7 linked regions of the Callithrix jacchus genome follow. The protein of the gene in region 4 purifies or fractionates together with the protein of the main gene of each other region. This does not show direct contact. Links are inferred from orthologs where the notes say so. Each region holds a gene or a part of one and is shown on either strand. Other genes may lie near its edges. The genes, in order: POLR3G, POLR3C, POLR1E, POLR1C, POLR3H, POLR1F and CRCP.

What was found.
Region 1: the proteins of POLR1C (region 4) and POLR3G purify together in Homo sapiens (affinity purification with mass spectrometry; 4 studies listed by BioGRID and IntAct, counting the BioPlex papers as one, with this or other methods). This does not show direct contact. The link is inferred for Callithrix jacchus from reciprocal best matches to the Homo sapiens genes POLR1C and POLR3G.
Region 2: the proteins of POLR1C (region 4) and POLR3C purify together in Homo sapiens (affinity purification with mass spectrometry; 5 studies listed by BioGRID and IntAct, counting the BioPlex papers as one, with this or other methods). This does not show direct contact. The link is inferred for Callithrix jacchus from reciprocal best matches to the Homo sapiens genes POLR1C and POLR3C.
Region 3: the proteins of POLR1C (region 4) and POLR1E purify together in Homo sapiens (affinity purification with mass spectrometry; 5 studies listed by BioGRID and IntAct, counting the BioPlex papers as one, with this or other methods). This does not show direct contact. The link is inferred for Callithrix jacchus from reciprocal best matches to the Homo sapiens genes POLR1C and POLR1E.
Region 5: the proteins of POLR1C (region 4) and POLR3H purify together in Homo sapiens (affinity purification with mass spectrometry; 5 studies listed by BioGRID and IntAct, counting the BioPlex papers as one, with this or other methods). This does not show direct contact. The link is inferred for Callithrix jacchus from reciprocal best matches to the Homo sapiens genes POLR1C and POLR3H.
Region 6: the proteins of POLR1C (region 4) and POLR1F purify together in Homo sapiens (affinity purification with mass spectrometry; 3 studies listed by BioGRID and IntAct, counting the BioPlex papers as one, with this or other methods). This does not show direct contact. The link is inferred for Callithrix jacchus from reciprocal best matches to the Homo sapiens genes POLR1C and POLR1F.
Region 7: the proteins of POLR1C (region 4) and CRCP purify together in Homo sapiens (affinity purification with mass spectrometry; 5 studies listed by BioGRID and IntAct, counting the BioPlex papers as one, with this or other methods). This does not show direct contact. The link is inferred for Callithrix jacchus from reciprocal best matches to the Homo sapiens genes POLR1C and CRCP.

Annotation. Positions count from the first base shown.
Region 1 is NC_133503.1:120,288,173-120,292,228, forward strand, and holds the start of POLR3G (DNA-directed RNA polymerase III subunit RPC7), read right to left. Parts: upstream 2,801-4,056; 5' UTR 2,651-2,800; intron 1-2,650. Other genes in the region: acyl-coenzyme A thioesterase MBLAC2, read left to right, coding at 3,385-3,838. UniProt on the Homo sapiens protein: DNA-dependent RNA polymerase catalyzes the transcription of DNA into RNA using the four ribonucleoside triphosphates as substrates.
Region 2 is NC_133519.1:8,270,425-8,272,822, reverse strand, and holds part of POLR3C (DNA-directed RNA polymerase III subunit RPC3), read right to left. Parts: intron 2,260-2,398; coding exon 2,109-2,259; intron 1,013-2,108; coding exon 911-1,012; intron 792-910; coding exon 742-791; intron 1-741. UniProt on the Homo sapiens protein: DNA-dependent RNA polymerase catalyzes the transcription of DNA into RNA using the four ribonucleoside triphosphates as substrates.
Region 3 is NC_133502.1:144,473,317-144,476,816, reverse strand, and holds part of POLR1E (DNA-directed RNA polymerase I subunit RPA49), read right to left. Parts: intron 2,330-3,500; coding exon 2,248-2,329; intron 1,469-2,247; coding exon 1,337-1,468; intron 128-1,336; coding exon 1-127. UniProt on the Homo sapiens protein: Component of RNA polymerase I (Pol I), a DNA-dependent RNA polymerase which synthesizes ribosomal RNA precursors using the four ribonucleoside triphosphates as substrates.
Region 4 is NC_133505.1:51,998,660-52,002,741, reverse strand, and holds the start of POLR1C (DNA-directed RNA polymerases I and III subunit RPAC1), read right to left. Parts: upstream 2,801-4,082; 5' UTR 2,778-2,800; coding exon 2,709-2,777; intron 2,582-2,708; coding exon 2,510-2,581; intron 570-2,509; coding exon 462-569; intron 187-461; coding exon 54-186; intron 1-53. Other genes in the region: protein YIPF3, read left to right, coding at 3,083-3,163, 3,797-4,006. UniProt on the Homo sapiens protein: DNA-dependent RNA polymerase catalyzes the transcription of DNA into RNA using the four ribonucleoside triphosphates as substrates.
Region 5 is NC_133502.1:192,353,688-192,357,885, reverse strand, and holds the start of POLR3H (DNA-directed RNA polymerase III subunit RPC8), read left to right. Parts: upstream 1-1,398; 5' UTR 1,399-1,461; coding exon of another isoform or gene 1,462-1,464; intron 1,465-4,198.
Region 6 is NC_133512.1:38,572,753-38,574,975, reverse strand, and holds part of POLR1F (DNA-directed RNA polymerase I subunit RPA43), read right to left. Parts: coding exon 2,085-2,223; 3' UTR 1-2,084. UniProt on the Homo sapiens protein: Component of RNA polymerase I (Pol I), a DNA-dependent RNA polymerase which synthesizes ribosomal RNA precursors using the four ribonucleoside triphosphates as substrates.
Region 7 is NC_133503.1:3,241,050-3,245,344, forward strand, and holds the start of CRCP (DNA-directed RNA polymerase III subunit RPC9), read right to left. Parts: upstream 2,801-4,295; 5' UTR 2,684-2,800; coding exon 2,676-2,683; intron 1-2,675. UniProt on the Homo sapiens protein: DNA-dependent RNA polymerase catalyzes the transcription of DNA into RNA using the four ribonucleoside triphosphates as substrates.

The sequences.
Region 1 (4,056 bases), on a different chromosome or scaffold from region 4:
GAGTGTACTTTCATTTCCAGTAAATATCTGCTTTTGTTGCTTCATTCTTTCTTTGCTTTCTGGGCTTTGTCCAATTCTTTGCTAAAGATGCCAAGAACCTGGACACCTTCCACCAGTAACAACAACAGCTCCATGAATAAATGCAGAAACAAATAGAGGCAGACATAGAAGCTAGAGGTAGTGAAAGTCAGGTCACAGTGTTATTCCTGATGAATGACCCCTAAATTGCTATAATCAGGATAGGTATCCTAACCTGTCTACTTCCAACCCCTCATCTAATAGTAGAGGGTTAGTTACCAACTCTGTTCTCTCTCCCATGTTCCCTTTCGTCCACCTCTGCTTCAGTTCAGACCCTCTCATCTCTCACCTGGACCTCTACAACATAACAAATAAACTTCCTGTGGCCAGACTCTCCCTTTCAATCCACTCTGCAGTCTAGAGTATGTTTCTGGAATACAATTAGTGGCACATGACTTAGCATAAATAACAGAGCTTTGGAATCTTTCTGCCTCTCACCACATGCATCCCACGCTATGGCCACATCAACCATTGCATGCCTGGAGTGCCCTTCCTGCCACATCCTCCTAAGCCCCAGGTTCTTTTAAGATGCCATGCAAATGACACTTTCTCCATGACAATCTCTTCCACCCTACAAGGAGGTAGGCCCCTCCCTTCTCTCTGTTTCCCAAGTACTACACTGCTCTTAGGCCCTTTTACAATCATGTTTTAACTATCAGATCTTATCTATCTCCCCAGGGAGGCTCTTCAATCCAATCAAGTATTTATTAAGCACCCTCAGCATCAGGCTGCCCTCTATGAATTGGGAATACAGTAGTGAGCAAAACAAAATCTCTCCTCCCATAGAGCTCATAGTCTAGGGTAAGAAATTGACAAAATATATTTTATAGGTAATGTCAGGAAGTGATAAGAAGAAAAATAAAGACAGGAAACATGGATGCTATTGTAAAGAGGACGGCTGAAGAAGTCCTCTCTCATTCCGTGATATTTGAACACAAGCCTGACAAAAGTAAAGCAAAGAGCCATGGAGAGAATTAGAAAAGGACATCCAGGGAGACGTGTGATACAGGCAGAGGGACCTGGATGTGTGAAGGTCTCCTTGGAAACTTATTCACCTTTTTATGTCCCCATTGCTAACCAAAGCCTGGCAAAAGTCCAGTCATTATTGGGTATATTATTGCTGAGCTCACGGCCTGGTAGAGATATCACTCCTTTTCACCACTAGTGGTTCTCTTCTGCCTAGAGAAAAAGTACCCCAACTACAAAGAGCCCTACTACTCTGCTGAGAATGCCCTAAAAGTAGTCTTTTAAGGCCGGCTCAAATGCCTCTCCTCAAGAATCCCTTCCATCTGTATTCTCATTGAGTCTAGTTTTTACTTCCTCTGTGGCACATACCCTGCAATGCTTTATCTTGCAAGTAATTGTGTACAGACATTACCTTCCTTCAAACTCCTGAGAATCCAGATTATGACCTTTTGACACAATTTTGTTCATGAAACTTTAGGAGGGTAGGGAAGGAGAGTATGCCTCTCCTTCCATGAAGGCTTACTAGTAGTTGTCACAGTAAAGGTTTTCATAATCCTTTTCTCTAATGCTGTCTCATGAGTCTCTTTACCATATTTCCGAAGTAGGGAGGTTAGTCAAGTTCTCAAGGGAATTTCTGAAGCTTAAATAGATGCTTCAGGCCAGTGTAGTGGCTCACGCCTGTAATCCCAGCACTTTGGGAGGCCGAGGCGGGCGGATCGCTTGAGGTCAGGAGTTCAAGACCGGCCTGGCAAACAGAGTGAAACCCATTCCTACTAAAAATACAAGATTAGCCGGATGCAGTGGCAGGCGCGTGTAATCTCAGCTACTTGGCAGGCGGAGGCAAGAGAATCGCTTGAACCCAGGAGACGGAGGTTCCACTGAACTCCAGCCTGGGCGACAGAGTGAGACTGTCTCACCAAAAAAACAAAAAAAACCCAAAACCTAAATAGCTGCTTCAATAGCTGGGAAGTGTGGGGAATGGATGCAGTGACCTGATGTTAACAGTGCGGGTGATTTACGTGGCTGGCGGGGCCACACCCAGTCATTATTCACTTTTCCCGTCCTCACCAGGTTCTCCCTCTTTCCTTGGTTGAACTTCACTACCAACTTTCTTTACCCTCCTCCAAGGGCAGACTAACCAAAAAAAGAAAAAAAAAAGAGAGTGGATATAGAATTTTATTTTTTAGAAGAAAAGACAAACCATATTAACAGCTCCCATCCCTACGATATAAAAGTGCCAACAGTTACGAAAATAGATGCTGAATAGTCGGTCCTCAGCTTCAATCTGCGGCAATGACTAGTGCCTAAACAAATCATCAAGTCACCGGATTCTGAAAATCACCTACTGTAAGTAAGAGACTACCCTTCTAACTCACTGTAAACAGTCCCAGAAGCGGAGACTAAGTAAAATCTGGAAATTCGACTTAAAAAAGATTCTGAAGGGAGCAGCACCAGGGGAGGTACCAAGCCATCTCCAAACGCCCCTCAACCCAGAGGCGCTTTAATAATCTCTAACCCCGACTTCCCCCTACCTTCTCCACGTGTCCCTTTAACTTTCCTCTATCCTCACCACCCCTCCCAAGTCTTCGATTGCTTCCTCGGTTACCTGCTCCCTAAGTCTCGAAGCGTGGGCAAAACTCTGCAGTCGAAGTGCCGGCCGGCAAGGAAGGGGTGCTGGCAGAGGACGCCGGCGTTCCAGCGCCGCGGGTTCCACCTCGGGAGAAGCGCGCACCGCCCTCCCGGCGGTCCCAGAACTGCAGGGTGAGCTCTACCAACTAGCCCCGCCCACTCCCTAGGCAGGCCCCATCCCCTCGGCACAGAGCTTTTTTGGCCTTGGCAGTCGCCGTAGTCACCGGACAACCCGTTAGGCCCCTCACTTTCCGCGCCAGCTGGGAGTGCGCACCGCGGAAAGCTGGTGGGTGGGCGGTCCTAGCGCTTCCCCTGCTCGCTCCGGGTCTCTGCTGCCACACTCCTGGGGTGGGGAAATAGTCGCCTCCTGAGTCTCCATTCTGCTGCAGTGGCCCCTGCGTTAAATCTCCCTCGAGCTGCAGCTGTACAGGCTGCGGTAGCTCCTGTGCCTCGGTGCAGGTGGCGCAGCCTTTACTGGCTGCCGACCTGGCGGGAGGGTGCGGGAGCGCACGCTCCAGGTAGCGTGGGTCTGCGTCCTTCCTTCCTCCTCCTATTCCTACCCCCGCATTCCCCGCCCCCGCCTCGCTCTGCGCCTCCTCTCTGGCTGCAGCAGAACGCTCCACACAGCCGCAGCGCCTGGTGTCTGGACAGCCAGCCTGTGGGAGGCACGCACGCCCACACTCATCCTGCCTGGCTGCACCCCTGCCCAGCATGTCGGCTCTCGAGTGGTACGCCCACAAGTCTCTAGGCGATGGTATCTTCTGGATTCAAGAACGCTTCTATGAGTCAGGCAACCGCGCCAACATCTGGCTGGTGCGCGGCTCCGAGCAGGACGTGGTGATTGATACAGGCCTGGGGCTGCGCAGCCTCCCGGAGTACCTGTACTCCTCCGGCCTCTTGCAGGACCGCGGGGCCAAAGAGGATGCGGCGCACCGGCCGCTGCTTGCCGTGGCCACCCACGTGCACTTCGACCACTCCGGCGGCCTCTACCAGTTCGACCGGGTGGCCGTGCACCACGCCGAGGCTGAGGCTCTGGCTCGCGGGGACAACTTTGAGACTGTGACCTGGCTCTCCGATAGCGAGGTGGTGCGGGCGCCCAGCCCCGGCTGGAGGGCCAGACAGTTCCGGGTACAGGCGGTGCAGCCCAGCCTCATCCTGCAGGATGGTAATGGGCCCCCTCGGGCGCGCGCTCTCGTTAAGGGAGGGTGTTGGGAAGAGACTGTCCGAGTGCCGCATGTTGGAGACCTGCGTGGCGATAAGGGGATTTATTTTGGCACCTCCTAGAACCACTTGTTTCCCCGTTCCCTGAGTTAAAAACCCACTTGACCAGCGCCAAGGCCTTCACAGACTTCCCTGCCAGAGATCAGCTCTGGCACCCTGTAG
Region 2 (2,398 bases), on a different chromosome or scaffold from region 4:
AACACAACTCTGAGACATGTTTCCTAACCTTGGAGATTCTCTTAGCATTTATCTCTGAGGCACAACCCATCACTCTTTTACCATTTTCCTGGTCAAAGTAGATGTCACCTTCTAAGGACATTTTCTAGAAACTTATTTGGAAATATAACTTCACTCGTGAAACTCTTACTGCCTCTCATTTGCACTTAAAGTTTGGTGCTTCTGTACATTTCTCATAAATTTAATCTGAAAAAACTATTTCATTGGGAGCGTATTAGAAAAGTGTAGCCTATGCATGATTTATACTAATCTAAGCCAGTGATTCAATGCAAGGACACTGGTTGCTATCTCCATTGTTTCCTATTCCTCAGAATTTTTTTTTTTTTTTTGAGATGGAGTCACACTCTGTCACCCAGGCTGGAGTGCAGTGGCATGGAGTGGCTCACTGCAACCTCCACTCACTGAGTTTAAGCAATTCTCCTGCCTCAGACTCCAGAGTAGCTGGGACTACAGGGGCCCATGACCATGCCCAGCTAATTTTTGTATTCTTAGTAGAGATAGGATTTCACCATGTTGGCCGGGCTGGTCTTGAACTCCTGACCTCAAGTGATCCATCTGCCTCAGCCTCCCAAAGTGCTGGGATTACAGGCATGAGCCACTGCACCTGGCCCAGCCTTCATTGGTTCCTGTTTCTATAGGAAATTTCCCCTCAGGCCGTTGACCTTAAAAAATGTAAATAACTCAACTGAAAATGTTACTTACTTGTTCTCTTTGGTTTCAAATTGCCTCCTTTCTATCAAGTTGGCTATGCTCTGAGGAAAGAGAAGACAGACAAGAAATGCACATAGTTCAATTTCAGCAGCTCAGGTAAAATGGGTGAAATGGGCATATGAGGGGGACTTGTCCATGTGGAGGCAGCAGACTGGGTTACCTTGTAGCACCTGTGCAGCAACATTCGGGCAGCTGACAGGATGTTCACAGTATATAAATAGAAGGTCCTGGATGGGGCATGGTCTGGTGTTTTGGGAATTTCCTATTTGTCCAATAGAAAAAAAAAGTAACAAATTATATTGTTTTGGAACTGGCAAGGTAAACACTCATTCCATCTGGACTTACTCAACTCTCTTTTTCACTTACATTTTCATGTTTCCTAGTCATTCAGTACCTGTGTTTATTTATTTACTTTGAGACTGGGTCTTGCTGTTACCCAGGATGGAATGTGGCAGTGCGATCTTGGCTCACTGCAACTTCTACCTGGGACTCAAGCAATCCTCCCACCTCAGTATCCTGAGCAGCTGTAACTACAGGCATGCGCCACCATGCTCAACTAATTTTTTAATTTTTTTGGCGGGGGAGGAGACATGGTCTCACTATATTACCCAGGCTGGTCTTGAATTCCTGGGCTTAAGTGATCTTCCTGCCTTGGCTTCCCAAAGTGCTGGGATTACAGGTGTGCCCAGCCCAGTCTCTGTGGTTTATGTCGTAATTAATTAAACGGAGAGCTGGGCTTCCCTGTTTTTCTTTTTTTCCCATTTGACTGTCAGCATCCTGAATGGAGAAGAAAGGGAAGGTAACTAATATTTACTGAAAAATCTGTGTACCAGGTAAATTCTATATGATCTTTACAAAAAACCTTTTTTTTTTTTTTTTTTTTTAATACAGAGTCTTGCTTTATTGCCCAGGCTGGCGTGCAGTGGCACAATCTCAGCTCACTGCGACCTCTGCCTCTTGGGTTCAAGAGATTCTCCTTCCTGCCTCAGCCTCCCAAGCATCTGGGATTATAGGCACGTGACACCACCCCCAGCTAATTGTTTTGTATTTTAGTAGAGACAGGGTTTTACCATGTAGGCCAGGCTGGTCTCGAACTCCTGACATCAAGTGATCTGCCCGGCTCGGCCTCCCAAAGTGCTGGGATTCTAGGCGTGAGCCATTGTGCCCAGCTGCCTCTTTCTTACTAGGGCAATTAAGGCTCCACATCTTCCTCTAAGTGCTTGCTACATCTCTGTGAATCATGTTTTCTGTCTCAGAGCTGGATATAGAGTTTGCTTGGGATTCAGTATGTTTGCCGGAGAAGCTTCTCTCACCCTAGGCTAGCCTGTCTGGTTGGCAGTTGTTACACCCTTGGTTACCTGGAGTGATATAAAATTTTCTGAGAGCATCTTATATAGCATATCCTTTGCCTCCTTTGCAGGAATCATTGCAAAGTCTTCCACTTGCTTCTGCTCCAGGTGTTTCTTCTGCAAAACTAGACGGAATATTCTAGCACAGCGAGACCCAAATCTGGAAAAGAATGAAGAAAGCAAATGGCATGCCAACACAGGAGAGTAGCTTTAGTTCCCAGTCATAGATGGGGCGGTGTTCTATCCCATGTGTGGAACCAGGACCAGAGAGGAACAGTAATAAGAAAACTCTTCCACAG
Region 3 (3,500 bases), on a different chromosome or scaffold from region 4:
TGAGGTCTGGGCGGGAGGCAGTGGGAGGGACAGGGTGCCCAGTTTGTGATCTTCTTCATCACCGGCAGCCACAGACACCCTTCTTTTGGAGATCTTCAGCCTCATGGCTTTGGCTATCTCCATCATCCTAAGGAAGACACAGAACAATGGGAGAGACTCCTCAATGTGACTGTTCAGGGAGGTATGGCAAAAGGTAGCAGCACATTCATGCTCCAGGCCATAAAGACAGAATCCCAAAGGTTGCCAGCAGGAGCAAAGCCCCAGGCAGAGGGACAGGCAAGGTCCCCTCACCCACTGAAAGCCCTCAGATAGACAATTTCATTTTAATGTGCCGCCCTTCGAAAGATCCATGTGGGTGATGAAAAACCAGACTATCTTAGAGCCCTATGGACAACTTTCTTTACCACCCATAACCAAATTTTTAGCAATCAGCATTGAGCACTTGCTAGAATCTGATGGGTTCCAAGTACCTGTTCTCTTTTTTCAGCCCCAGGGCCTGTGGGAACACGGTCTGTGGACAGCTCTCAGAACAGTCCCTCCATGGACTGCTAGGAGAGTCCAGACGGAGGTGTGTTCACTGGATCTCCTAGACACCATCTGGGTCCCTGGATATCACATGCCCCTATATCACTGACAAAGATCAGCTGACCCCACGGTTTAGGTTCCCAGGCAGCTCTGCCCCTACTGTCTGAATCTCCTCTACAAGGTTAGAGGGAGCCTGAAAGGTCATCCCCACCACCAGCTCTCCCAGTCGGGTCAGAAAAATGCAAATATGACATCCCTGCCAAACAGTGGTTCAAGGTTCCACCTGTCCTTGAACACCTCCCCTGGGCAAGCCCTTCCATCTGATTCTGAGGAAGCTCTTCTTACTAAGTGGCAGTTGGGTTCTCCTACAACTTCCATCCTTGGCTGCATCCTCAGAACCATACAAAATCCCTCTCCCCAGTAACAGAAATTCAGAGAATGGAGGCTGCTTGGTTATTCAGGAACAGAATGTTATGGAAAGGCTCAGGTCTGAAGTCCAACTGCTCCCCTCTTGGTTGTATAACTTTGAGAAAGTCATGTACTTTTCTAAACCTGATTCTTCAATTGTTTTCTAGGGAAATCAATGAGATAATGACAATTTAAGACTGTGCCTTGCAAAGAGAAGGCACTCAGTAATGTCTAGTTGCTCATTCAGTCAATTATTGATTCATTGAAAATAGACCTCTAGTTCCAAGTTGTTCCTACATTTAAAAATCCTCAGTTCCCTTAGTGGCGCCTCATGCTTTCCAGTGGTACCAGAAGTAAGACATCAAGGTGCCCTGCAGGGAGCTCTTTATTCTGTTGTGCTCACCTTTTCTCACTGAGCTTCAGGTCCCTCTGTAACATTGTCAGGTCAATTTGGAAGTCATTTATGTGCAAGGCAAGTATGATCACATATGCAGTAATCTTCGCCTTCATAGAATCCGAAATTAAGTTCCGTAATCTAGAATATCAATGGCAATGAAGAAACAAAATTAAAGTCTAAGACAATTTCTCCAAAAGCAAAATAAGAACATCCAAGCGTATTCCCATATGCACTCAGGAACTAAAGGAAAGGAAAAGGAATGTAGATGGCTTGTTTGCCCTCCCAAGGTTCCTGGGCCTCATACACAGTGGAGCAGTGTGCCAGTCCACATTTCCCTCTGAGAGGGAGAGAGAAAGCTGGGCCTACACACTCCCTGGGTACCACTAGCACTTCGAGCTGGTGAGGGCCCTCTGAGTCTGTCCCCGCCTGCATAGCAGGGTTGCTGGGAAAACATTCATTCCCAAATCAACTGTGCTGATTCTTCAAAGCACACCCAGGAGCAGGAAACACATTCCATGCAGATGGCAGGAAGGAAAGCCCACGGGCATTGCTTGTGGGTCTTTCCCCAAAGTCCCCAAGTTGGCCTGCCCTTTCATGCAACGTTGCCTTTGCGAAGAACACCAGCTCTGTGGGACATCACGAAGGGCTCCTCAAAAGAAGTATGTGACGTAAAACAAGTCTCTATTGTAGGACTTCCCAGAGCTTCTAAGATTCCCAAAAGACAATACTTTTCCAAAAAGGACAGAGTAATATTTAGCGTTTGCTGAACTTTCTGGGGCCCCAGGAGACTTCCAAATGGCAGCAATCTCTTTAGCACTGCATATCTGTGGACATGAAATTGAGTCCAAGCCCCCGCTCCTCACTCCCCCTACCTGCTTTCCCTTGCACAGGAAAAATCCCAGAAACCACCCCCTGACCTGCCATTGTTGTACGTCAAGCAGGTAAAGTGCTTCAGCAGTTTGGTGTTGATGATGTGGGGAATGTCAGGTCCCAGGGAATCTACAACACAAAGTTAAGTTTTATCATTTTCTCTTAAAACTCTCAGGCCACACCTCAACCATGAGCTGAGAGAAAAGGCCAACAGCTGGGCCACTGTAATGACCAGAACCAGGTGGTAAGAGAAGCAGGACCCACAAAGCAGAACAGCCATGGCAAAATGCAGACACGCTCGGTGCACTTCTGCTGGCAGACCTCCCTGCAAGAGTGATGCTGGTGAGGGGCCAGTAACAAGAAACCACAGCCCGAGGCCTAAGGACACAGAATTTTTTTTTGAGACGTATTTTTGCTCTTGTTGCCCAGGAGGGAGTGCAATGGCACAATCTCAGCTCACTGCAACCTCTGCCTCCTGGCTTCAAGCAGTTCTCCTGCCTCAGCCTCCCAAGTAGCTAGGATTACAGGCATACCCCACCACACTTGGCTAATTTTGTATTTTTAGTCAAGATGGGGTTTCTCCTTGTTGGTCAGGCTGGTTTGGAACTCCTGACCTCAGGTGATCCACCCACCTCAGCCTCCCAAAGTGCTGTGATTATAGGCGTGAGCCACAGGCGTCCCAGTAGGACGCAGATTTAACATGACGTTAGAAAACAAAATTGTGCTGAAAGCTCAGAGAGACAGAGAGGGAAAGGTGGAATTGGAATGTGAAAATAAGAACTAAGTGGCTGGTCGAGGTGGCTCACACCTGTAATCCCAGCACTTTGGGAGGCCAAGGTGGACAGATCACCTGAGATCAGGAGTTTGAGACCAGCCTGGACAATACAGTGAAACCCCACCTCTACTAAAAATACAAAAATTAGCCAGGTAATGTGGTGTGTACCTGTAATCCCAGCTACTTAGGAGGCTGAGGCAGGAGAATCGCTTGAACTCGGGAGACGGAGGTTGCCGTGAGCTGAGATTGTGACACTGTACTCCAGCCTGGGCAATAGAGTGAGACTCCATCTCAAAAAAAAAGAACTAAGCAAATACAGACTGGGCGCGGTAGCTCACACCTGTAATCCCAGCCAGCACTGTGGGAGGCCGAGGCAGGTGGATCACCTGAGGTCAGGAGGTCAAGAACAACATGGCCAACATGGAGAAATCTCATCTCTACTAAAAAAAACAAAAATTAGCTGGGTGTGGTGGTGCCCACCTGTAATCCTAGCTACTTGGGAGATGGGGGCAGGAAAACTGCTTG
Region 4 (4,082 bases):
AACCAGGATTTAAACCCAGACAGTCCACTTCTCCCAAAATTTCATTTTCTCACCTTGGTTCCGATACTCAAAAAGACGGGGGTCAGCATGAATGGGAATGAGCCCCAGACGGTGAGCAAGGATCTCATCCTGAACAATAGATGTGTTGTTGTACACCAGGACCTTCTCCACAGCCATAGTTGGCACCTGCCCAAGGAAAAAATCACTTATCAGCAAAAACCCAATAGACCCCCTACCTATCCCCACAAACTCCAACCTCCAGAGGTAGGGAGCTATCTCTCTTCCTAGAATGTTTAATGAGAAGTTTACAAAGAATGAGAAGGTAAAATCCTTAGCCAGCAAAACTCCAGGAAAAATAAGAAGGGAAGGACAGCTTGAGACACTTAATTCTCCAAGTGACACTCCAAGTGTCAGTGCAGTTCCCAAAGCAAATCCAACCTTGTCACCATGCCTGCCAATACCTCAGCTAACAGAATTCGTCGAAAAGCATTGGCAATGGATGCATCAATTCCCACCATGTCAAACTCCAGTGAGTTTTCATCCATGTGTACCACATCCACACGGAAATTCTAGAGGGACAGGAAAAAGATTAAGTGAAGCCTGCTCTCTTTGTAATAGCTCTTCATACCTCCCCCTCAGATGATTCCAAGTATTATCCACTCATCCAAAAACCACCCTTTGCCCAGACGTCCCTTATTAAATGTTCTTTCTCGTCCAGTGCTTGCTTTAGGTTCATGAAAAGTGTCCATTTTTTGTCTTCCATTCATTAAAACCCTATCCAATATGGCTCCCAACCAAACCATCCACAGAAGCTATTGTCCTAAGAACAGAAACCCACCTCACTGCTTAGTCATGCTGACACTAGACAGTCCTTTTACTAGACGTCTGTTACGCCTGGCATTGATTAAAAAAATCCCCTCCTGGAAAGGCGCAATGGCTCATGCCTGTAATCCCAGCATTTTGGAAGGCCAAGGTGGTTGGATCACGAGGTCAGGAGTTCGAGACTGGCATGGTGAAACCTCATCTTTACTAGAAATACAAAAAACTAGCCGGCCATGGTGGTGTGCACCTGTAATACCAGCTACTCAGGAGGCTGAGACAGGAGAGCTGCCTGAATCCAAGAGGCAGAGGTTGCAGTGAGCTGATATCCTGCCACTGCACTCCAGCCTGAGCAACAGAGACTCCATCTCAAAAAAAAAAAAAAAAAATCCCCTCCTTTTTTGAACTATTCTCCTGGCTTCTGAGCTCCATTCTTCCTTCTCTGATGATCAACAACGTCCACCCATCTCTAAATCTACCAGGTTCTGGTCTCTCTCCCAGGTGACCTTAACCACACTAACAACGGTTTTAGCAACTATCTGTGCTGACACCTCCCAAAATTTTACCTCCCTTCTGATCTCATTTCAAATATGCAGTCTTCTAGCCTGCTAGATTTCTCCAAATGCAGGAAACGACGTATCATCATTCCTCTTCCCCAGACCCATTTCTTCTCTCAGTAAATGATACCACAATGCATCAAAGCAGTTCCCAAGTCAAAAAGTCATTTTATGCTACCCCAACAGCCTTTACCAAAGCAATCACAAATTTACCTTCTTTCTTCCTTTGCTCTCTTTCTACCGTCAGTCTTAGTTCATACCTTCAACCTCAGCTTCCCTTACAACAGATCTGCCTGCTCCATACGATCCTCTTCAAACTCATTCCCTCCCAGCTATCAGGGTTGCAAATCTAATCATGTCTGCTTAACTATTCAAGCTCCCTATCATCAACAGTGCCCAAGACACACTTCAATCTTGCCTACCACTAGTGCCAGAACTGCTTGGACATTCCCGGAGCACAATTCACACCATAACTTTTTTTCAAGCATTAGCCTTTTTCATTGTTCATACTTTATTCCTGTATCAACAGGTTAAAAAAAGTAAAATTTTCCCAAGCACAGATTTATAGATCATGTTTTATAAACTGCACACACAGTTCAGTTGCATAAACAGTAACATTCAGTGATCTATTTAAATGCAATTTTAATCCTTATTTTAAGCTAAGTGAAACAATAATAGACTAAATACACACAAAACCTGTATATCCTCAACTTCACTGACCTGAAACTCAAAGCCTTCCTAATTTAACTCCTGTTCTTTACTTACCGTTCAAAGCTCAATTCAGATCTTCCCTCCTCAAGAAATGTTAAGTACCTCTGGGCCCCTCTTCCTGGTCTCAGCATAATGTTCCCCACACGAATCCTGCCATCTTCACAGCTATCAACCACCTTTACCATATTAAACTAGATTCACTTGTTTATACGCACCATTCCTCAACAAGACTGAACATCTTGTTTGCAGAACTGGGTAGAAACTGTGTCTAACTTGGCCTGTAAACGGAGGTCTACCACATTGCTCAACAAAACTTACAAACGGAGCGACCCCCAAGAGCAGCTACTGAGACAGACACATGCTGCTGAGACCACAGGGTCTGGCCCTCCTAACAATCCCCGGACAACTCTGGCCCCACTGACCTTCTCGAAGCGTTCCTGGTCCCAGGCATCATCATAACCGGAATAGTTACCGGGAAAGTCAGTGGTATGGACCTAGAGCAAAGGGATGAGTTTGTCCACAAATGGACAGTGAGCCTACGGCTATCCCCACGCCAATCCCAAGACCCATCCCTGTTCCGCTCTCATTCCTCCCGCCTGAGCTCAAGGACACAAGTCTTACATTGCGAACCCCAAACTCTCCTAGAACCACGCGGCTCCGCATTTCTTCCACGGCCTGAGTAGCCGCCATGTTCAATCTCTCCAAAAGACTACAGGCTCTAGCTGGCGCGTGCGTTCTAGCAGCACTGCTCCATCTCCGTGGCAACGCACCGCCTCCTGGAATCTTAAATATCGCGAGACTTTGCTCCACCTTCATCCACGTCCCCAATTTCCGGAAGTTGGTTTTGTCCAAACATCCGGGTTTCTCCTTTTTGTGTTCCGGCTGATCCCACCTCTCCGCGACCTGGGACCTCTCCCTTCTTGGGACTCACATCTCGCACACTTCCCTGCGCGCGGGGCTATCGCGGGCTTCAGCGACGGGAGCCCTCAAAGGGCATGGCAACTACAGCGGCGCCGACGGGCGGCGCCCGAAACGGAGCTGGCCCGGAATGGGGAGGGTTCGAAGAAAACATCCAGGTAATGGCCCCAAGGCACCAGATGCCAGCAACCCGAGGGCCGGCGATGTCCAGAAGTGTCTTGGGGATTCTCCCTCGGGGCCTGGAAGTTCACTCCATTTGCAAAACTGCCTTCTTTGGGTCTTGCACACAAAAGTCAGTGGAGTTAACATTGACCTGAAAGGGCCAGACTAGTCTACTACTCCAGCCTGAGGATCTCGGGTCTCTGGGCCCGCCCGAGGCGTTAGGAAGAACGTATTCTTGGAACAAGTTAGGAGGTTGGTTGGGGTCAGGCCTGGAGTGGGGTTGGGTGGGATTCACTGGCACTCGCCGAAAACATACTGTGTTCATAGTTTTGTTTGGGGCTTTGGAAAGACAGAAATGGATTCTTTTTCAAGCTTTTAGTCTTTGATAGGTAAGGTAGGAGAAAGACATGAATGGAAGACTAGTTGGTTTCCCAGGCTAGAAAAGATAGCCAAAGCTATAAATCAAGCGTTCTGAGAGCAAATGAGGGGGAATGGAGTGGCATGATCTGTAGTGATTCCAAGCCGTATCCTCAGCAGTGGAAGAACAAAGCCCTAAGCCCTGGGATGAGCAGAGGACTTAATGGATGGAACAGAAAAGTCCTGCACTCTAGGAGCCATTGTCTTAACAGGGCGGAGGCTCAGCTGTGATTGACATGGAGAACATGGATGATACCTCAGGCTCTAGCTTCGAGGATATGGGTGAACTGCATCAGCGCCTGCGCGAGGAAGAAGTAGACGCTGATGCAGACGCTGATGCGGCTGCTGCTGAAGAAGAGGATGGAGAGTTCCTGGGCATGAAGGGCTTTAAGGGACAGCTGAGCCGGCAGGTGGCTGATCAGGTAAGCAAGATGGAATCCCCTGCAGGTGGAAAAGTAAACCTAGGTGTGTCCCATGTCCTGGAGTTGGTATTGGTGT
Region 5 (4,198 bases), on a different chromosome or scaffold from region 4:
GGCCCCCTTCTCCTCTTTAGCCATGGGAAGCCTCCCATGGAGCTGTAGGAGCTGGAAATGGCATTTCTTTTGCGGCAGGGGCTTATCCTGCAAGGCTGGGATCTCTGGTCATATCCGCCTTCTGACCTCTGGGCATGGAGGTCTGTCTGCAGAGGCACGGGCCCGGGCACTAAGGGCAAGGGGTCTCCATTATCCTGTAAGGGCCTAAATGCAGACTGTGCATCCCTGGTCCCCTCGGGGCCCCTACAGTCCTAGATGGCCTTGGCTTCACCCCGCAGTGCATTATTAATGCACCGGAGCGCTGCCTCCTTCTCCAGGTCCAGGTCTTCAGCAGTGACCAGGAACCCCAGCTCTAAGGGAGGTGGCAGCATCAGAGGTTCCCCTCACCTCCGTGGCAGCAGAGGAAACTTTCTTCTACAAGGCCTAGACTCCTGATATGTGGGGGAGCCATTCCTGGGGGCCAGTTTCTCCCCTGGTGGTGCATCTGCTGCCTTTTCACCCTGGGTATGAATGACAGCCTGAGAGACAGCCTGAGAGTTGTCCTCACTCACTGTCTTTGAGGAACTGAGGGTCACATGGCAGTGGGATGAGGCTGGCCCTCTCCTCCTCTTTAGCCACGGGAAGCCTCCTGTGCAGCTGTAGGAGCTGGAAATGGCATTTCTTTTGTGGCAGGGGCTCATCCTGCAAGGCTGGGATCTCTGTTCATGTCTGACATCTGACCTCTGGGCATGGAGGTCTCTCTGCAGAGGCCTGGGCCTGGGCACTAAGGGCAAGGGGTCTCCATTATCCCGTACAGGCCTAAATGCAGACCATGCATCCCTGGTGCCCTCGGGACCCCTTTTTTTCACCATCCAGACTCTCTTGGACTCTGGGGTCCTTGTCCTGATCAGGCATCACTGCCTCACTCTACCTGTGGGCTCTCAACACGATCTCCTCTGGACAGGAGTCTGGGCCTCAGCTGGGTGTTGTAGGCCCCAAAGGGGTGACTCCCTGCTTCTGGGACCCACAGAGAGTTTTTGTGTGGAATTGGAAGCTTGCTGTGGTACCTGTGCATCCAAATTGAAGGCAGAGGCAGAATCACTGGAAAACCTTCTTGAAGTTGTTTTGACACAGCAAGGAGGAGATCCCACAAGCAAGGTGAACGGAGGGATGGGGAGAGCGGGCTCAAGGCAACTGAGCCCTACTGGCAGGCCCTCGGCACTCAGGCCGGGACAGGGATAAGGGGCACAGAGTGCCCAGCTAGCCCCTTCTAGGAGCAGTGGGGAACTTTCAGATGCTTGAACTCTCGAGAGCTGGGCTCTGAGCGTCGTCTTCTAGCTGCCAACTCGGCTAAAGACTAAGCTAGCAGTTTCTCCTGTTGCCGGGCAACGCATCTTTCAAACCTGCGCGAGTGGGGGCGCGTGCAAAAACAGGCGCAAGTGAAAGATCCACGCCAGGACGACCTTCAGGGACTCGCGCGACATGGTATGCACGCCAGGCACCTGCGGACAATGCGGTGGGGGGAGTGGTGCAAACCTTTCGCGAGAGGCACGTGCTGGCAATGGTGGGGCGGGGGGAGGAGGGGGGTGTGTGTGCAAGGTATGTGCATGAGGCACCTGCGGGCAATGACGGGAGTCAGGGCCCTGGGGGGTAGAGGGGTGCGCACCATAGGTACTAAAAGGAGAGGCGCGCACACAAAGGACTCCGGACCTGAAAGGATTGGTGTGGCAAGGTACGCGCTCAAGGTACCTGCTGGCAATGGCGGGAGGGGGAAAGGGCCTCGCGGCACAATAGGTACTGGAGGGAGAGACGCGCGCACTAAGGACTTGGGACCTTAATGGATTGGCGCTGCAAGGTACGTGCACAAGGCACCTGCTGGCAACTGCAGGATTGGGGGCGAGGTGGTGGGGTGGGGGGGGCAGCGCGCGCAATAGGTACCGGAGGAGAGGCGAGCACAAAAGACCCGGAACCTCAACGAACTAGCGTGGCAAGACACGTTCACAAGGCATCTGCTGGCAACGGCGGGAAATTGATGGGGCTGGGGCGGGGCGCGATATAAGTACTGGAGGGAGAGGCACGCGCACAAAGCACGCGAGACATTAACGGCTCGGTGCGGCAACGTATGCGCACAAGGCACCTGCTGGCAACGGCGGGGAGGGGTCAAGGTGTGCGCGAGAGGCGCCTGCTGTTAATGGCAGCGGAGGGGCAATGTATGAGCACAAGGCACGTGCTGGCAATGGCGGCGGAGGGGGCAATGTATGGGCTCAAGGCACCTGCTGGCAATGGCGACAGAGGGGGCAACGTATGCGCACAAGGCGCCTGCTGGCAATGGCGGCGGAGGGGGCAATGTATGCGCACAAGGCGCCTGCTGGCAATAGCGGCGGAGGGGGCAATGTATGGGCACAAGGCACCTGCTGTTAATGGGGGGATGGGTCAAGGTGTGTGCGCGTGGCGCCTGCTGACAATGGCGGCGAAGGGGGCAACGTATGGGCACAAGGTACCTGCTGGCAGTGGCGGCGGAGGGGGCAATGTATGGGCACAAGGTGCCTGCTGGCAATGGCGACGGAGGGGTCAAGGTGTGCACGTGAAGCGCCTGCTGACAACTGAGAGATTGGTGGCGCGGTGGTTGGGTGGGGGGGCATAGCGTGCAATAGGTACTGGAGGTGAGGGGAGCACAAAAGACCCGGAACCTTAACGAACTGGCGTGGGAAGACACGCGCACAAGGCACCTGCTGACAACCGCGGAAAAATGGGCCGGGGCGGGGCGCGCGAAATAGGTACTGGAGGGAGAGTCACGCGCACAAACACGCGACACATTAACGGATCGGTGCGGCAAGGTATGCGCACAAGGCACCTGCTGGCAATGGCGGGGAGGGGTCAAGGTGTGCGCCAGAGGCCCCTGTAATGCGTGAGCCGAGCCTTTTTTTTCTTCCCTGGAAGCAGAGTTTTACTCTCTCACCCAGGCTGGAGTGCAATGGTGCAATCTCGTTCACTGAAACCTCTGCCTCCCAGGCTCAAGCGATTCTGCCTCAGCCTTTTGAGTAGCTGGGATTACAGGACTATGCTATCATGCCCAGTTAATTTTGTATTTCTAGTAGAGACGGGGTTTCACCATGTTTGCCAGGCTGATTTCAAACTCCTAAGTGATCTGCTTTGGCCTCCCAAAGTGCTGGTATTACAGACATCAGCCACCACGCCTGGACTGTCCTAGCCTCACAAAGTTTTCCTTCGCTGTCCTCAGTTTAATGTCATGGCGGGGCACAGCCTGGTCGTCATGATTAAGGACTCTGGGGCCTAGGTCCCGGGTTTGCCACTTACTGGCTATATGACCTTGAATGACCTATTTAACCTCTCTTTGCCCTAGATGAGGCAAAATGAGACAATGAGGTAAGTGAGATAATGATAATAGCTCCTACTGTATACAGCTGTTCTGAGGATAAAACTTAATGCATGTAAAGCACGTAAGTAGTACTCCACATATAGTAAGTGCTCATGAATGTTAGCTGTTAATATCATAATCATAAGGCCCCCTGATCTGGACGCTGCTTAGGTCTCTAATCTCTTAGCTTACCAGTTCTCATCTCCCATGTAAATCAGCCCGAATATTATTATTATTTATTTTAGAGACAGAGTCTTTCTCTGTCACTCAGGCTGGAAGGCAGTGGCAGGATCAAAGCTCACTGAAGCCTTGAATTCCTGAGCTCAAGCAATCCTCCCACCTAAGCCTCCCAAGTAGCGAGGACTACAGGCAATCATGCCCAGCTAATTTTTTTTTTTTTTTTTTTTTTAGTAGAGACAGTGTTTCATTTTGTTTCTGAGGCTGGTCTCAAACTGATCTTAAGCAATCCCCCTGCCTCAGTCTCCCAAAGTGTTGGGATTACAGGCATGAGCCAGTGTGCCTGGCTCCAAATACTTTTGATTATTTAAGAGTACAAACTCTCTTTCTCTCAATGCCCACCCCCCTGCCCCCAACTCCAGCACCAAGCGCTCTGAGCTGAAGTTTTTCTTCTCCATTGCATTTCCAACAGCTGGACACAACAGCATATTGAATGAATGCATGAATGAATAAGAACAGCATCACATTTGGGTTCCATTTTAGGCCATTCTCACATTGCTATAAGGAAATACTTGGGCTGGGCATGGTGGCTCATGCCTGTAATCCCAGCACTTTGGGAGGCTGAGGCAGGCAGATCACCTGAGGTCAGGAATTCGAGACCAG
Region 6 (2,223 bases), on a different chromosome or scaffold from region 4:
CTTATTGTGTGTACATGCACAACTGTTCTCTTGTGACATGCCACACAAGATGTGTGTACATGACATACATCTAACTTGTTTACCATTATATCCCTGGGCAGTGTAAGAATGTGTTGTACAAAGTAGATGGTCAAGTGTGTGGAAAATGAATAAATATGGCCATGCATTGATTATCAGCTTCAACCAGCTTGTCATTTCATTACTCTTTGTCAGTTAGTCAAGAGACATTCCATGTTTTCTCAATGAAAGCAGTGAACAAAACAACTGTTTTCTCTTCAGCACAATATATTACAGCCAACAAATGGGACCTAATTAAACTAAACAGCTTCTCCACAGCAAAAGAAACTATCATCAGAATGAACAGGCAACCTACAAATGGAGAAAACTTTTGCAATCTATCCATTTGACAAAGGGCTAATATCCAGAATCGATAACAAACTTAAACAAATTTACAAGAAAAAACAACCCCATTAAAAAGTAGGCAAAGGATATGAAAAGACACTTATCAAATGAAGATATTTATGCAGCCAACAAACATCAAAAAAAGCTCATCACTGGTTGTTAGAGAAATGTAAATCAAAACCACAATAAGATATCATTTCATGCCAGTTAGAATAGCGATCATTAAAAAGTCAGGAAACAAGATGCTGGAGAGGATGTGGAAAAATAAGAACCATGTTGGTGAGAGTGTAAATTCGTTCAACCATTGTGGAAGACAATGTGGTGATTCCTCAAGGATCTAGAAATAGAAATACCATTTGACCCAGCAATCCCATTACTGGGTATATACCAAAAAAATTATAAATCATTCTGCTAAAAAGACACATACAGACATATGTTTACTGCAGCACTGTTAACAATAGCAAAGACTTGGAACCAACTCAAATGCCCATCAATGATAGACTGGATAAATAAAATGTGGCACATATACACCATGGAATACTATGCAGCCATAAAAAGGGATGAGTTCAAGTCCTTTGCAGGGACATGGATTAAGCTAGAAAGCACCATGTTCAGCAAACTAACACAAGAACAGAAAACCAAATACCATATATTCTCACTCATAAGTGGGAGTTGAACAATGAGAACACATGGACACAGGGAGGGGAAACATCATGCACTGGGGCCTGTCAGGGGTGATAGGGGAGGGATCGCATTAGGAGAAATATCTAATGTAGATGATGGGCTGATGGCTGCAGCAAACCTCTATGGCACATACGCCTATGGAACAAACCTGCACGTTCTGTACAAGTATCTCAGAACTTAAAGTACACACACACACACACACACACACACACACACACACAAAGTAATCTGAAATTTCCCACTAGTCAGAATCACATTTATCCTGTCTTCATTAGAGTCTACTCCAACACACAACAAAATTAGAATGGCTGAGGCACAAATGAACAAGTACAAGAAGACAGTCCTTTCCATCAACCTCTCAGATTTAAAAAAGAAAACAAGAATACACATGCACCTGGAAGAAAAGAATAATGAACAGCATACACCACCAGGCAGTCAGTACTGGCATGGCTTTTAAGAGCTGTGAAGACTTCAGAAACTTCTTTGGCAAACCATTTTATGTTAAACAATAGAAATACTGTAGAAGCAATGGTAAAGGAAAACCTAAAACTAGTTAATGTCCTGAGTTTTAAAAAAAGCAATATAAAACAGCATGTAATAAGGTGAAACCTATTAAACACATAGACACAATTAAATAAAAACTCTAACTCATTCTTTAGTAATATAATATAGTATTACACACTCTTCTTGCTGGTCTTGAGACTGTAGATACTGTAGAAATAATTCAATGTAGAGTGCAAAACCTGGAAGAATATGAGAGTTGACAGTAAGAGCAGCTTTTTATTTTGTATACAATGGCACTAACAATACTGGCTTTCCCCAAATCAATGTACAGTCAGTTTTATCATTTTAAGCACATCGAGCTGTCTCCAACTTATTTTCTCTTTTGTAAACTACTGGTATGCTTAAGCATTTCATATCACTCAAAACATTTATTCAATTGTCACGTATATCTGTCGTTTAGAAACTGAATCATATTTAAAATACTCTAAAGAAAATTACTTTTCCTTTTTTTTTTTTGGTGAGCATTTCAAAGGTGGGGTAAATTCAGCCTCTTCACTGTGTTTTCTTTTCTTTTTTTTCTTTTTATGGTCACTTTGGTAACCACTGGAGTCACTGCCTTGGAAACTAGGGTCC
Region 7 (4,295 bases), on a different chromosome or scaffold from region 4:
GACTGAGACTCTATCCCAAAAAATAAAAATAAAAATAAAAACCAATAAAGAGAACAGGGTGAGGATGAGGAGGAAAGTATACCAGACAGAGGGTCCTGCATCGCAACAGTCCTCAGCAAGTGCTTAGGAGGCTCCTGTCAGTGGAAAGTGAGTGTTTGGGAGGTTGGGAGACTGGAAAGTGATAAGGCTGGAGAGTAGGTGGGGTCTTATAGGGTGCTGCAGGTCCTGGTAAGAGATGCAAATTTCCTCTAAGTACAATGGAAAGCCAATGAAGGGTTTTACACAGGGTGACATGTTCCAATCATTACTTAAGATCACTCCAGTTGCCACGTGGAAAACAGAATGGAGGCTGGGGAAGAGTGAACACCCAAACGCTACGGCTTAATCCAGCCCAGAGGTGACGGACTACGAACCTAACAGTGGAGAGGCTGAAAAGTAACTGCATTCAAAATATATTCTAAGGCAGGGCCGGGCGCGGTGGCTCACGCCTGTAATCCCAGCACTCTGGGAGGCCGAAGCACAATGTTAGGAGTTTGAAACTAGCCTGTTCTTGTGATACAGAAAGAGAAAAAAGAAACAAAAACAAACAAATAAAAGAAACCAGTCTGGCCACCATACTGAAACCCTGTCTCTGCTAAAAATACAAAAAATCAGCCGGGTGTGGTAGTGTGCACCTGGGAGACTGAGGCAGGAGAATCCCGTGAACTCAGAAGACGGAGGTTACAGTGAGCCGAGATCACGCCTTTGCACTCCAGCCCACGCAAGAGTGCAAGACTCCGTCTCAACAAATAAATAAATAAAAGACAGAGCCTTGCTCCCTTACCTCAGCAGGAGTGCAGTGGCTAGATTTCAGCTCATTGCAGCCACCTGGCCTCAAGCAATTCTCCCATCTCAGCCTTCTAAGTAGCTGAGACTATAGGCATGCACCACCACACACAGCTAACTTTTTAATTTTTTGTAGAGACAGGGTCTCTCTATGTTGCCCAGGCTGGCCTCCACCTCCCAAGCACAAGTGATCCCACCGCCTAACCCTCCCAAAGTGCTGGGATTACTAGTATGAGCCACCACGCTTGGCCCCATTCATTTTAATAAAAAATAGACAATATTGAGAGTGTACTCCATACACTATTGTTTCATGAGTCTTTCAGTTACACAGTCAAAAAAAATTGGAAGGGGCCAGGTAAGGTGGCTCATGCCTGTAATCCCAGAACTTTGGGAGTCCAAGGCAGGAGGGTCACTTGAGCTCAGGAGCTGGAAACCAGCCTGGGCAACAAAGTGAGACCCTGTGTCTACAAAAACTTTAAAAAAAAAATTAGCTGTGAGTGATGGCGTGGGTCTGTCGTCCCAGCTACTGGAGAGGCTGAGGCAGGATTGCTTGAGTCCAGAAGGTCGAGGCTGCAGTGAACCATGATTACGCCACTGTACTCCTGCCAGGGGGAAAGAGCAAGACCCTGTTTCTTAAGAAAAAACAAAATTAAGGCCGGGAGCGGTGGCTCAAGCCTGTAATCCCAGCACTTTGGGAGGCCGAGGAGGGTGGATCACGAGGTCAAGAGATCGAGACCATTCTGGTCAATATGGTGAAACCCCGTCTCTACTAAAAATACAAAAAATTAGCTGGGCATGGTGGTGCGTGCCTGTAATCCCAGCTACTCAGGAGGCTGAGGCAGGAGAATTGCCTGAATCCAGAAGGCGGACGTTGCGGTGAGCCGAGATCGCGCCGTTGCACACCAGCCTGGGTAACAAGAGCGAAACTCCGTCTCAAAAAAAAAAAAAAGAAAAGAAAAAGAAAAAACGAAATTAATTAAAAACGTAAAAATCTGAACTGCCATAGTACATATAACTTTTAAACATGAGGCAAAAGAACCTAAAGGAAACTGTATCAAAAAATCAGTTCACAGAGAACACAAGATAGGTAATACCTACAAGTTAGTATCAACCATATAAAACCCAGATTCAGAGTAGATGCAAAAAAACTTCGTTTGCACCAAGTGCAACGAGCAAGCATGGAAAAGACCACGTGAGGTCAAATTGTCAGAAAACCTTTTACCCTCGCGCGCACACACACCCGCACACACACCCGCACACCCCGTGCTGTCTCTCGGGTCCCAGTCCTGGCTCATATCCTTCCCCACTCCCCGCAAAAACCCGCCCCTTCCGTCACAGGGTTGACTGCTCCCACCAAACTCTGAGAGCCGCTCTTCCGAGTGAGGGCTCCCCAAGAGCCCGGGGCTGCAAGCAGAGCTCTACTCTACCCCGCCCCGATTCGTCTCTCCTCCAGCCACTCTCAGGGCGGACAGACAGGCCTTCACAGCCTTCTAAGTCCGGGGTCCGACAGCCCCGGACTCGGGCTCCACCCCCGCACTGTGACCCAGGAACGCTGGTAAATGAATGAGAGGAGGAGGAGGCGCATTGGAAGGCAGCGGGATCCGGAGGTGCTCGGCCTCGCATCCCAGACGCAGGCTGTGGGGGGGAAGGGAAGGTTGGGAAGGGCAGAGCGAGAGCCCCGTTCGTCCCCGTTTGTCCTCGTTCGTCCCCGTTCCCACGCGCGCGGCCCTCCCGGACAGGGCCGCCCTCGGCCCTCACTCCCGTAGGAGGGGTCGCCCAGTACCCGCGGCTCTCGGCGGTCCAACCGTTGGGCTCCCCGGCCCAAAAGAGACTCGTCCCGGGAGACTTACACTTCCATGACGTCCCGCCTCGTCGCCCCCAGGCTACCAGCGGACAAGGAACCGCACACCCCACAGCTGCCGCCGCCGCCACCGCCCGCGCCAAACAGCCAGCTCCGCGCCCCGCGGTGCACGCCGGGATCGCCGCGGTGCACGCCGGGATCGCCGCGGTGCACGCCGGGAGCTTGGCGGACCCGGAACCTCTCGCTGCCCAGTCCGTTTTCTCAGGGGGCCGGGGGAGGGTCGCTGTGTCCTTAGCCCAGGACTTCGCTTCAGGCTGCTAAGAACTTGCGGGCAGGACTATCCGGTGTTTTCTTTTTTTTTGAGTCGGAGTCTCGCTCTGTCGCCCAGGCTGGAGTGCAGTGGCCCGATCGCGACTCACTGCAACCTCCGCTTCCCGGGTTCAAGCTATTTTCCTGCCTCGGCCTCCCCAGTAGCTGAGACTACAGGCGCCCGCCACCACGCCCGGCTAATTTTTGTATTTTTAGTAGAGACGGGGCTTTCACCATGTTGTCCAGGCTGGTCTCGAACTCGTGACCTCAGGTGATCCACACTCTCCTTGGCTTCCCAAAGTGCTGGGGTTGTTACAGGCATGCGCCGTCGCGCCGTCTATCTCATGTTTTCGTGGTCTAGGTTTTCTTTTTTCTTTTTTTTTTTTTTTTTTTTTTGAGATGGAGTTTCGCTCTTATTACCCAGTCTGGAGTGCAATGGCACGATCTCAGCTCACCGCAACCTCCGCCTCCTGGGTTCAGGCAATTCTCCTGCCTCAGCCTCCTGAGTAGCTGGGGTTACAGGCACGCGCCACCATGCCCAGCTAATTTTTTAATTTTTTTAGTAGAGACGGGGTTTCACCATGTTGACCAGGATGGTCTCGATCTCTTGACCTTGTGATCCACCCACCTCGGCCTCCCAAAGTGCTGGGATTATAGGCTTGAGCCACCGCCCGGCCTGGTCTAGGTTTTAACAAAGTAATTAATCAGCTAAAGTTCCGAGACGTGATGGGGTTACTAGGTCTTTGCATGTTAAAATCCCACCCCTCAGAGAGTAGTGAGGCTGGTGGCGTCTGGGGTGCCAGAAGCGTTGTAGTTTATTTATTTATTTTTGGTAGAGATTGGAGTCTAGCTATGTTGCCCAGACTGGCCTTGAACGCCTGGCCTCAACTGATCCTCCACCTCCACCTCCCAAAGTGCTGGGATTACAGGCATGAGCCACTGCAACAGCTCTGTTCCCTTTTTTGTATATAATAAGTGTGTTAGGTAATCCTTATAAAGAGCCTGGCACTTTATTAATTACTGTGGCAGTACAATGGAATGAAGTAGATTCCATTATTATTCATGCCTTATAAGTGAGGAAACTGAGACAGTCTTGGAGAGATTATGATTTGCCAAAAGTCACTCATCTAGGAACTTGTCCGGTGGGTATTGAACCCAAGGCAATCTGAACAAATATAAGAGGTGCATTAACTAGTGACTAATAATTGGAGGAATAAAATGTTCTACATTTGTACAATGGAAAACTACTTAATAAAAAGGAGGCCAGGCTTGGTCCCAACACTTGGGGAGGCAGAGACAGGAGAACTTCTTGGAACCAGGAGTTCCAGATCAGCCTGGGCAACATTGCCAGACTCCCTCT